Caenorhabditis elegans: one gene and its partner. The protein of the gene in region 2 interacts with the protein of the main gene of each other region in a pairwise test. Each region holds a gene or a part of one and is shown on either strand. Other genes may lie near its edges.

Region 1 (4,581 bases), on a different chromosome or scaffold from region 2:
TTTGCGGGTTTTCTTCAGTCTTCTGAAGAGTCTTTGACGTCCTCTTTTGCCTCCTATTCTTCTTCTTTCTTTCTGCTAACAAACACTAGAGATAAACGAAGAAGTGAACGCACACACACATACATGCAAGTTGCACAAATTATTTGTGCTCACGGAGCAACAATTTCAACGACTCGTGCCACACTTCAACGTGCTCCACAATCGTTGCTCGCCACTTCGCCCGACGCAACGTCTGATTCAGATGACAAGATTGTGCGGATCCTCGTCGAGGCGCTTCGTCGCAGTGACATGAGCATTATCGTCTCCGAATCTTTCGATCAGTGGGCCCGATTGGCCGTTGAGGTGAGTCTATGGGCTCCGCGAGCAGTTAATGGAAGCTTTTTGTAAGAGCTCGGCTGCTTTGGATTTATGGATTCCGAAATGAGAAAGAGCTATACGAGATTTAAAAAAATCCCATAATTCTGTCATTTCTAGATGGAGCTCAATTAGGATAATGAGCATTTCACCGTGGAAATGCATAATTTAGCTTTTCGTTCCCCAGCATAAAAATTCCCCCTAAGCTCAATTACCAGATTGATTGGCGAAAATGGGAGCTAGAATGCTCAAAAATGCTCAAAATTGTCTCAAAACTCCTATTTTGGATATTTTAGGACAAAATTTCAAAAAAAAATTATCGTTTACTTGGGGAACACACTATTAAGCTTTCTGGTAGTGAATTCGATCATCCTTGAACGCAGAATAAGATCTTGGCATAATCTTGCCGTGGGAAAATTGAACGTTCACGCGTGGTGTCAGAGTGTCTCATATGGGATTGATCTACATAGATCTACAAAAAATGCGGGAGAAGAGACACAGAATTCTCAACTGATTTCGTATGGTTAAGAACGTGCTGATGCCACATATTTTTGGACAACAAATTCCCGCATTTTTTGTAGATCAAACCGTGATGGGACAGCCTGGCATCACGTGTGTTCACGATAAAGCAGGAAATGCACCGAAACCAAGAATCGCTGCTCTTTATTCCAGGCCAAACGTCTTGGGCTCATTTCATTTGTGGAGGCCGCCTGCCCGTCAACCATTAGCATCTCTTGTCATGCGGCTCTCTCAACCGGACGTATCAATCCAGAAGTCACGTTTCGAAAGGTACACAATATCCATTTTATGGCTCAAAAAACAACAGGAAAAGCTTTCGCGTCATCAAATCCCGAACCAGTAAAGGGAACAACAACAAGCCCATTTTTCCTGCTCTCGTTTTTTTTTCCTTTTTTCTGTTCATTTCTCTTGCGGTTTTCTCCCATCAATTTTCCCCTATTATTGCTTATGAATACAGCAATAGGGGAATATGTATGTTAAGAGAAGAGAGACACACACAGACAAATGCTCATCATTTTTGACGTCGAGAAAAAGGATATTTTCAGGTTCTACGAATCGTCGTATCCGGAAAAGTAATCATGTGCCGAGCAGTGTTCGGCGATTCGTTGAACGAGTGTAGAGACGGAGGAGGCACGGATTTCGAGATGGATCGCTACACTTCTAGGTAGAGACAGGCTTTTTCGCGGCCAGAAATACTGAAAACCCGTCATGTAGATTTACGCGAAATTTACAGTTTCTAGCTATAATAGCTGATTTCTGAACCATTAAAAAATGTTCCGTCTCCGTTTGATCTACAAAAAATGCGTGCTGACGTGAAATTTTTTTGGGGAAAAATATCCGCATTTTTTGTAGATCACACCACACGGGGGAGTACACTAGCGGAAATCGACAGTTTCACAAGAAGAGCTCATAAGCTCTTTTTGAAACATAATATTTGAGCAGAACGATTGGTATTTCAGCACTACCAAATGACAAGTTAACCAGATTTCAAAGCTTCAACCCAATCCTCTCTTTCCAGATTCTTCCTAAAACACAGCAACTTAGAGAAAGCGTTCGACCAACTCGCGTCTTCCGGCTACCGACTTATTCATTCCAACACATTTGCGCCGTCCGAGATGCCAAAACATGCGGCGAAAGATGACTCGCAATTTATTCATCATTCTCAATTTGTTTTCCATCGACAGCCAAAGGTAGGAAATTGACGATGAAAAAAGTTAGAGCTGAGAATATCGAATTTTGAATTGAAATTGGTCTAATTTGATGTTAGGAAATCATTTTTTTTGTGAAAAAAAAAACACTAAACGTCGGAAAATTTCCCTGCTAACATCAAATTAGTTGATTTTTCCTTCAAAATTCGTCATTTTCATTGCATTAGCTTGTAGAAACCCCCACAATTCGTCCAGTAACGCCACTTTTCCCGGAAGTTGGTGAGGTGAACAAAAGGGAACTTTGTCTCTATCCGCTTAAAAGCTTTTTCCTTCTTCTTCTTCTTCCAATTTTCCCTTCAAATCAAATCACGGGCGGCTTCATCTTCTTTTCCCCCCGCTTTTACGTGCTCTTCCACCGGAACGTGTGTGCTCACAAGGGGAGCTCGAAAATGTCTGAGCCGTTGGAAATGGATTTTCGCCGGAAAAAAAGCAGCCAATTCTTCTTCAAGTTCCGTTCATCTCATTAGCCAGCGCCCTTTTTCTATGCATTTTGAGACGCTAATTTGATCACACAAGTGGTGAATAGAATGCACAATTTATGGGGGGAGGGGAGCCCTTTTTCTTTTTTCCGGGAAAGTTGGGCCGGAAATTCGAGAAGTATCGCTTTCAATTGGTGGGAAACCGAATTTATATATCGATTTTTTTGCAGCTTTGCCCTCCATCGGACACTGGTAGCAACTAGCAACGTGGACTTTTATTGCATTTTTCAAATAAATTGTTTTTTTTTGTAATTTTTCAATTTTGACAGGAGATTCGACGATAAATAAATACATCACACATTTTTACCTTATTCAAACGAACAGTGAGCACAACCTTGACTCCTTGAGTACTCAAACCACGCTTCTCGAGCTCTGTCTGCAAAAAGTGCATTTTATAGGGAATTTCCAGTGGAAAAAATGATTCACTTACCTTCAATTCACTAACACGCAAGTCATTGATCAATTTTCCGCTTTCCAACGGCATATTTTGCTCTGAAAATCGAAAATTTTCGGTGGAAAAAAATCGATAAAACACCAACTCGGCGACAACATGATTTTCGACGAAAATAACGGGCTTTTTTTTAGGCGGTTCAAACGATTGCCACGTAAGCAAATTCTTAATTTGGCGTGAAAAATTTAAAAAAAAAGAGAAAAATTGGATAATTTTACGCAGAAAAGATGAGAAATGAGAAAAAAAGAAATGCGCAGCGTTCGCGCAAGCTCACGAGAAACGCGCCAGCAACCACTGGTTGGCGCGTTTCGTGAAAAGCGAGGGAGATTCAAATTAGAATATTTTTGCAGGCCAAAAACGCAATTTTTCAAACGAATAATAAGAGAAAACCCATTTATTATAAACGAATTATGTAAAATTCAAGAAATTTATCGAATAAATTGAGGAAAAACTGCTAAAACTGCTGGAATTCCATGTCAAATTTCATAATTTAAATGTAAGCTCTCATTCCAAGCTGATCAGGTTCCTCCAGGAACTCGCAAATCGAGTCGACAAAGAATTTCGGGTCATCAGCATGAATCCAGTGGTTCGACCAGGCAGTTTCGGCGAATTGCACCTGTGAATTTGAATTTTTGAGCTTATTTTTCAAAATTTATCGATTTTTAGCCTATTGCTTGTCTTCACACCCTTCTAGATTATTTTCCCGCCATTTTTAAAGATCAAACTAGTCGAAAACCTTATATTTCCTTACCATTGGGAACATTTTCTCTACTCGATTCTTATGAGCCGCCGGAAGGAATCCCGAGCCAGGAGCCCGCTGGAACAGAGTCGGACCATCGAAAACTCCGAACCGAATGTCGTGGCTGAGCAGATAAATGTATGTCTCATCGATAACATTCAGATTGCATATCCAATGAGCTTTTCCGTTCACATCTTCACCCAAATTTCCGCGCACAAATTGGTAGAGCAGCACCTTTGACACTTTTTCGCCGAGCTCCGCCATCACTTCGCTTCGCGATTTGTTCATATCAGTGGCGATCATTTGTTTGATACATTCGAGGTATTCTGGAATAATTGGGGAGTTGTATTTCGAATTGATTTCCGGCAAATCGGCAAACTGCCGGAGTGGAAATTTCCGGCAAATCGGCAAATTGCCGGATTTGAAAATGCTCGGCCTATCGGTAAATCGGCGAATTGCCTGATTTCAAAATTTCCGGCAAATCGACAATTGCCAAAATTGAATCTTTTTGGCAAATCGGCAAACTGCGTGAATTGAAAATTGCCGGAATTGAAAATTTCCGGCAAGTTGCCTGATTTCAAAATTTCCGGCAATTCGACAATTGCCAAAATTGAAACTTTTTGGCAAATCGGCAAACTGCCGAAATTGAAATTTCCGGAAAATCGGCAAATTGCCGGATTGGACAATTTCCGGCAAATGGACAAATCGGCAATTGCCAAAATTGAAACTTATCGGAAAATTGGAGAATTGCCGAAAATAGAATTTCCGACAAATCGGCAAACTGCCGGAGTTGAAATTTCCGGCAAATCGGCAAATTGCCGGATTTGAAAA
Region 2 (4,830 bases):
TAAAAAATTGTCGTGTCGAGACCGAGTACCGTATTTTGGCGCAAAAATGACAAAATTTTGCGTCTGTGCAATAGTTAAGGTCCCACCGCGATCCAAGTCATCTTATTGGAAATCGCGCGGGAATTTCAACTGTTCAAGAATTCTGCTTGTATTTTTGACCTTTGTTCCTCCTCTAAGAAAATCTGTGTCCACCGCCCACCAAAAAAGATACAATTCCCACGCCTTGCAAACTCTTTGGCGTCACTATTCGTCGTGCCGAACATGAATTATTTAAAATTCTAAAATAGAAGAAAAAATAAACTAGAGAGGAGAGGAAAAGAAATAAGAAGGCACAAAAATATAAGAAAATGAATGAATGTGTGTGCATGAAGAGAAAATGAGCAATCTCATTAAATAGGCGAGCCCCTAGGAAAACCAAAAGAGAGTAGTACGGGGGCAGTGAGAGAACGAGCACATGCGTTCAGGAAATGCGTCGAGACTCGAAAATAGCAGTCGTATTGGCTATTTTTAGGCTTCTCACTGCTGCAAACGAGGGGACCACTGCTTCCTTCATGATTACATATCCATCGTTTATTTTTGGCTTTTCACATACAAGTACTCGAGGCAAAAGGCAATATATGAATATGAATAAAAGTGAGATTAAAAGCAATTGATTTAGCAGGGTTAGCATTTCTTGTTATCATACTGGAACTACGTAGTTTCCAGGGAAAAGCCCAGTGACTCCATCCAAGACACCTTCATACCAGTCGTCATCGTTCTTTTTCAGTACGTAGACAATTGCGTTCTCGCGAAGTGTCAACTCGTCTTCTTTTGCAGCATCATAGTCGTACAGGACCCGTACTGAAAAAAAAGATTGGTTTTTTTCGAAAATGTTTAAATTGACAAATATAATTGCTTTGTAACATTAAAAATTCTGCAAAAAATCGCATTTTACAACTTAAGATTTCGATTCTTTTTGGATTTTTTTGATACTCCGATGTTTTTAAAGGAAATTTATTTTTCGTTTTTTTCGAAAATAAAAGCTAAAAAGATAACTTTTTAAAAAATCAAAGCTTATAATTTTCAAAATTTGAAAATTCTCAAAAAAAAAAAATTTGGAGATATTTGAATTTTTCAAAATCACTTTCCAATATCACAAAATTTTTTGTTTTTTTCTCTTTTTTAAATTTTTATTAAATTTAATTTTTTTAAACTTTTTTCGGTTTTTATAATAAATTTTTCACTAACAATTTTAGCCAATTTTCTAAATCGTAAAATAATACAGAAAAGCTTAGAGAATTTTTTTCCGACAATTTTTCAATCAAATTAAAATCTCCAAAAATACCTTTTTCCAAATACTCGTTGGGCATCCATCCAGCACTCGTATCAAAGAGACTTGGTGGCTGACTCGAACTGTACGATTCTGTTCTACCAGCAAACACTCCATACGCTGATGACCCACCAACTGATTCTGGTGGAGGTGGTAGATCATCCATATCATCTTGTGTTGGCATTCGACTTGACATTCCAGTGAGCAAAGAATTTGGTGGAGGTGGAAGATCATGTCGGTTCACCGTTGATTTTCGAATAGTTCCATAATTTTGTTGTTGCATTTGTTGTTGTTGTTGTTGTTGTACCACACTTCCCGGTGCAACATATCCAGTATAATTCATAGCTGGTGGTGGAAGTGGGAATGTTGGTGATTCTGGACCTCCAGCACTACTTTGTGCAGATGATAGTCTGGGAATAGAAAAGCTACCATCCACTGTAGTCCGACCACCAGCTCGAATAGTTCCGTAACGATCAGGTTGATAAATGGAATTATAGTCTGATGATCCGTGTTGACTTCCGCTTCCACCACCACCGCTCATATGATCTCCGAACTCTGATCCGTGGCTCATTTGACGGCCGATTCGTGATTCTGATTGTGGTGTGACCTGTAAAAAGTAATCGGATTATGTTAGAAAAAACTTGATTAATTTTTTGAAAAGGAAATGAGCTGATTTTTTAAAAATTAGTTGTTTAGTCTGAAGTCGACAAAAACTAGCCTGAAACATTGAATTTCATAAAAAGACTTCTAAAAAATTTCAAAATTAATTATGTGATTATTCAATAAATACTGTATCTAACTGCTGTAACAAGGATTTCAGATTCTTATTCAGGCTCGCTCTAAATTTTTTTTCGATATTTTCAGAAGTCTCATTATGAAATGCGGTCGTTTTGGGTCAAAAAAACCGTTTTTTGAATAAATTTATCAATGGTTCACTTTTTTTTCAATATTGAGTGTATTTTTCAGAAAAAAAAGTTTAAAATTTAAAATGTATAAGTTATGTCAGAATTTTTCGCTCCCTTTTTTTTTTGAAAACGTTTTGTCAAAAACACGAAAAGCAAATTATTTTCAGCCTCTATGAATATTTCAAATGTTCACCTGTGGCAACCGATAATCCGATGGAGCAATTGATGGAGCATACGGTCTCATTGTTCTTCCTAACGTAGCCGTTCGTTCACCAGCATAAACTCCATACGCTGGAGATTCATTGTGAAATTGTGATGGAGAACTGCCAGAAATTGATGAAGTTGCTCTTGAGATTGGTGCTGCTCTCGGTGGATCCGATGTTCTGACACCATGCCCTATTCCGTCAAGAACAGAAAAATCGATGGGCGTTCGTTGATATCTCTGCTTTTCATCTGGGATTGCTGGTGCAATGATTTTGGGTTGCTTGAATAATGTTTTATTGGTTGTGAGAGAACCAATTTCTCGTCTTGCAAGCTTCTCTTTATGTACATCAACTACTTGGCTAACATATTGAACTTGATTTGTTAAAGAGTTCACTTTATCGGTTTGTAGAGCAAGCATATCGTGTAAATCTCTGAAAAAAAGATTCATAATTAAAACAAATTAATTGAAATACTTACGTAACCATCTTGTTAATCTGGTAGGCTACGCTGGCGAGTGCCTGGATCGCGAATTTCTTGGATTCCTCTAGCGCAGCAGATTTATTCTGAAAACGTTTAATTCATAAACTTAAAAGAAAAAATTAAACCACACGTTTGATTGTATATAATTATCCTCACAATACGCGGCAACTTGTTGAAGATTCGCATGACTCGTTTCCAGTTGAGCTCGATTATCGGGTATCCGTCGCTCGATGAGCTCTTGAAGATCATTAACACTCATTCCGCCTTCCCCATTATGTAGCATCTGTAACAAACTAAAAGTTAACTAACGTTTAGAAAAATATTTTAAAAATAATAAATTGACAGCAGAAATTTCATGAAAAACACTCAAAGGAACTGAATGAATAAGAAATTAATGAGGGCGTGGTCACAGAATGCAACGCGCGGCGCGCTTTTTCGCAAGTGGTACGCACATGTTATTTCCCGCGAGGAGAGCATATCGAATAATAGAATTTCCTCGGATATATTCAAATTAAATCGATATAAATCATATTTCCTACTAAATTTCTGAACCAATAATTCTAAAAATGAGCTCCAATGACGTTCTCGCACAAATTGCCGGTCTGGCGAAAGCTGCAGCAGAGGTTTGAAATTTGAAATTTTAATGTATTTAATTTTTGTATTTTTTTCAGCTTGAAAATGATTTCTCGACGGATAGTGAAATGCAACAAGATTCCGAGATTTGCGATGAAGTCGATGCGGAGCTTTTTGACGATTTCGAAACAAAGGTACGCTTTTGAATAAAGAAAATTTTAACAAAGTTCCCAGAAGTTGCAGCCATCATCTCGAAAGGAAAGTTCAGGAACGAGCCGTCGAACGAGAATGGCACACCGAGAGCTTCAAGGCCTCCAGTTCGCGAATCCAGGAGATGAAATGTCTCGATTTTTGCCCGACTCTGTGGATATTATTAGCACCAACCGCTCGAAACGTGTAGCCGCGGAGAAGCAGGCGGATCTGAGAGACGAACCTTTGCATCATGACAAAACAGGAAAACTTTCGGTTACCGCAAAAGGACAGACTTTGTTTTTCGATCTTTGTGATTGTCTCGTGGTGGAGTGTGATGGGTGCCATTGGCCATGTAAGCAGTGCAAATGTAAGAGATGATATTCATTAACTAAAAATATTTGTTCTAAAAATTCTTTAAACAAAGAAAAATGCATTTTTCAGCTCGCAAATGTCTCATCGGATGTCGTCAAAATCGAAAAGAAATGGTGATACGCGTCGAGGAGATGTACACAGTGACGGAAGCCCCGGGCCCTGTTGTCAATATTAATCCTTATTTTCCGGGCCAAATCAAGGATTAAATGCCTTATCGTTTTATCAATTTTAACCTCTTATGTATGTTCCCCTTTTTCTTGTACTGGTATTATCTATTTTGAACTGTTTTATACATGTCTTTGTGAAAAATTCAATCTCGATGTTCATTAAAAACTAAAGATATTGTTTGTTTTTGTTCTTTTTTGTCATACTAATCCATAGTTTCTCGGTTGATAATCTGAAAATATATCTGGCATCTTCTCGAGAAAAATTTAATCCAACGATATTTCAGAATCTTCCAGAAATGTCGTCATACGCTCTTTACCGAGGGACCACACTGGGTCAGGCACTCGATAAAACTCTTGAGGACATGGAATCCGAAGGACTTCTCACGAAATCTCTTGCTTCGAAAGTTCTGCAACAATTTGATAAAAGCATGAACAAGCAAATCTCGCGGCTTCCAAAAGAGAAAATGAATTTTTGTGCGACACAACTGCTCACTTATCGATATTGTGATAACGTTTGGACGTTTATTCTCAATAATGTCACGTTGAAAGATCCCCAGCGATCGTTTGATGAGCCTATTGATAAGTGAGTGTTTCTTTTATTTGTATTAAAAATAAAAAATCTAGAAAA

Evidence for each region. The genes of interacting proteins can lie anywhere in the genome.
Region 1: the proteins of abi-1 (region 2) and phm-2 interact in a two-hybrid assay, tested with the Caenorhabditis elegans proteins (2 studies listed by BioGRID).

The regions. Positions count from the first base shown.
Region 1 is NC_003279.8:11,516,029-11,520,609, reverse strand, and holds the start of phm-2 (Pharyngeal muscle protein 2), read right to left. Parts: upstream 3,053-4,581; 5' UTR 3,045-3,052; coding exon 2,991-3,044; intron 2,937-2,990; coding exon 2,868-2,936; intron 2,863-2,867; exon of another isoform or gene 2,764-2,862; coding exon of another isoform or gene 2,731-2,763; intron 2,064-2,730; coding exon of another isoform or gene 1,892-2,063; intron 1,538-1,891; coding exon of another isoform or gene 1,419-1,537; intron 1,144-1,418; coding exon of another isoform or gene 1,027-1,143; intron 637-1,026; exon of another isoform or gene 508-636; intron 343-507; coding exon of another isoform or gene 124-342; exon of another isoform or gene 1-123. Other genes in the region: F32B4.5 (KCTD8/12/16 H1 domain-containing protein), read left to right, coding at 124-342, 1,027-1,143, 1,419-1,537, 1,892-2,063, 2,731-2,763; abhd-11.1 (AB hydrolase-1 domain-containing protein), read right to left, coding at 3,502-3,627, 3,763-4,076.
Region 2 is NC_003281.10:5,689,550-5,694,379, forward strand, and holds abi-1 (SH3 domain-containing protein), read right to left. Parts: upstream 3,182-4,830; 5' UTR 3,158-3,181; coding exon 3,029-3,157; intron 2,982-3,028; coding exon 2,896-2,981; intron 2,850-2,895; coding exon 2,408-2,849; intron 1,917-2,407; coding exon 1,325-1,916; intron 841-1,324; coding exon 680-840; 3' UTR 558-679; downstream 1-557. Other genes in the region: arle-14 (ARF7 effector protein C-terminal domain-containing protein), read left to right, coding at 3,465-3,521, 3,570-3,665, 3,706-4,030, 4,105-4,241; B0336.13 (Transcription initiation factor IIA small chain homolog), read left to right, coding at 4,499-4,785.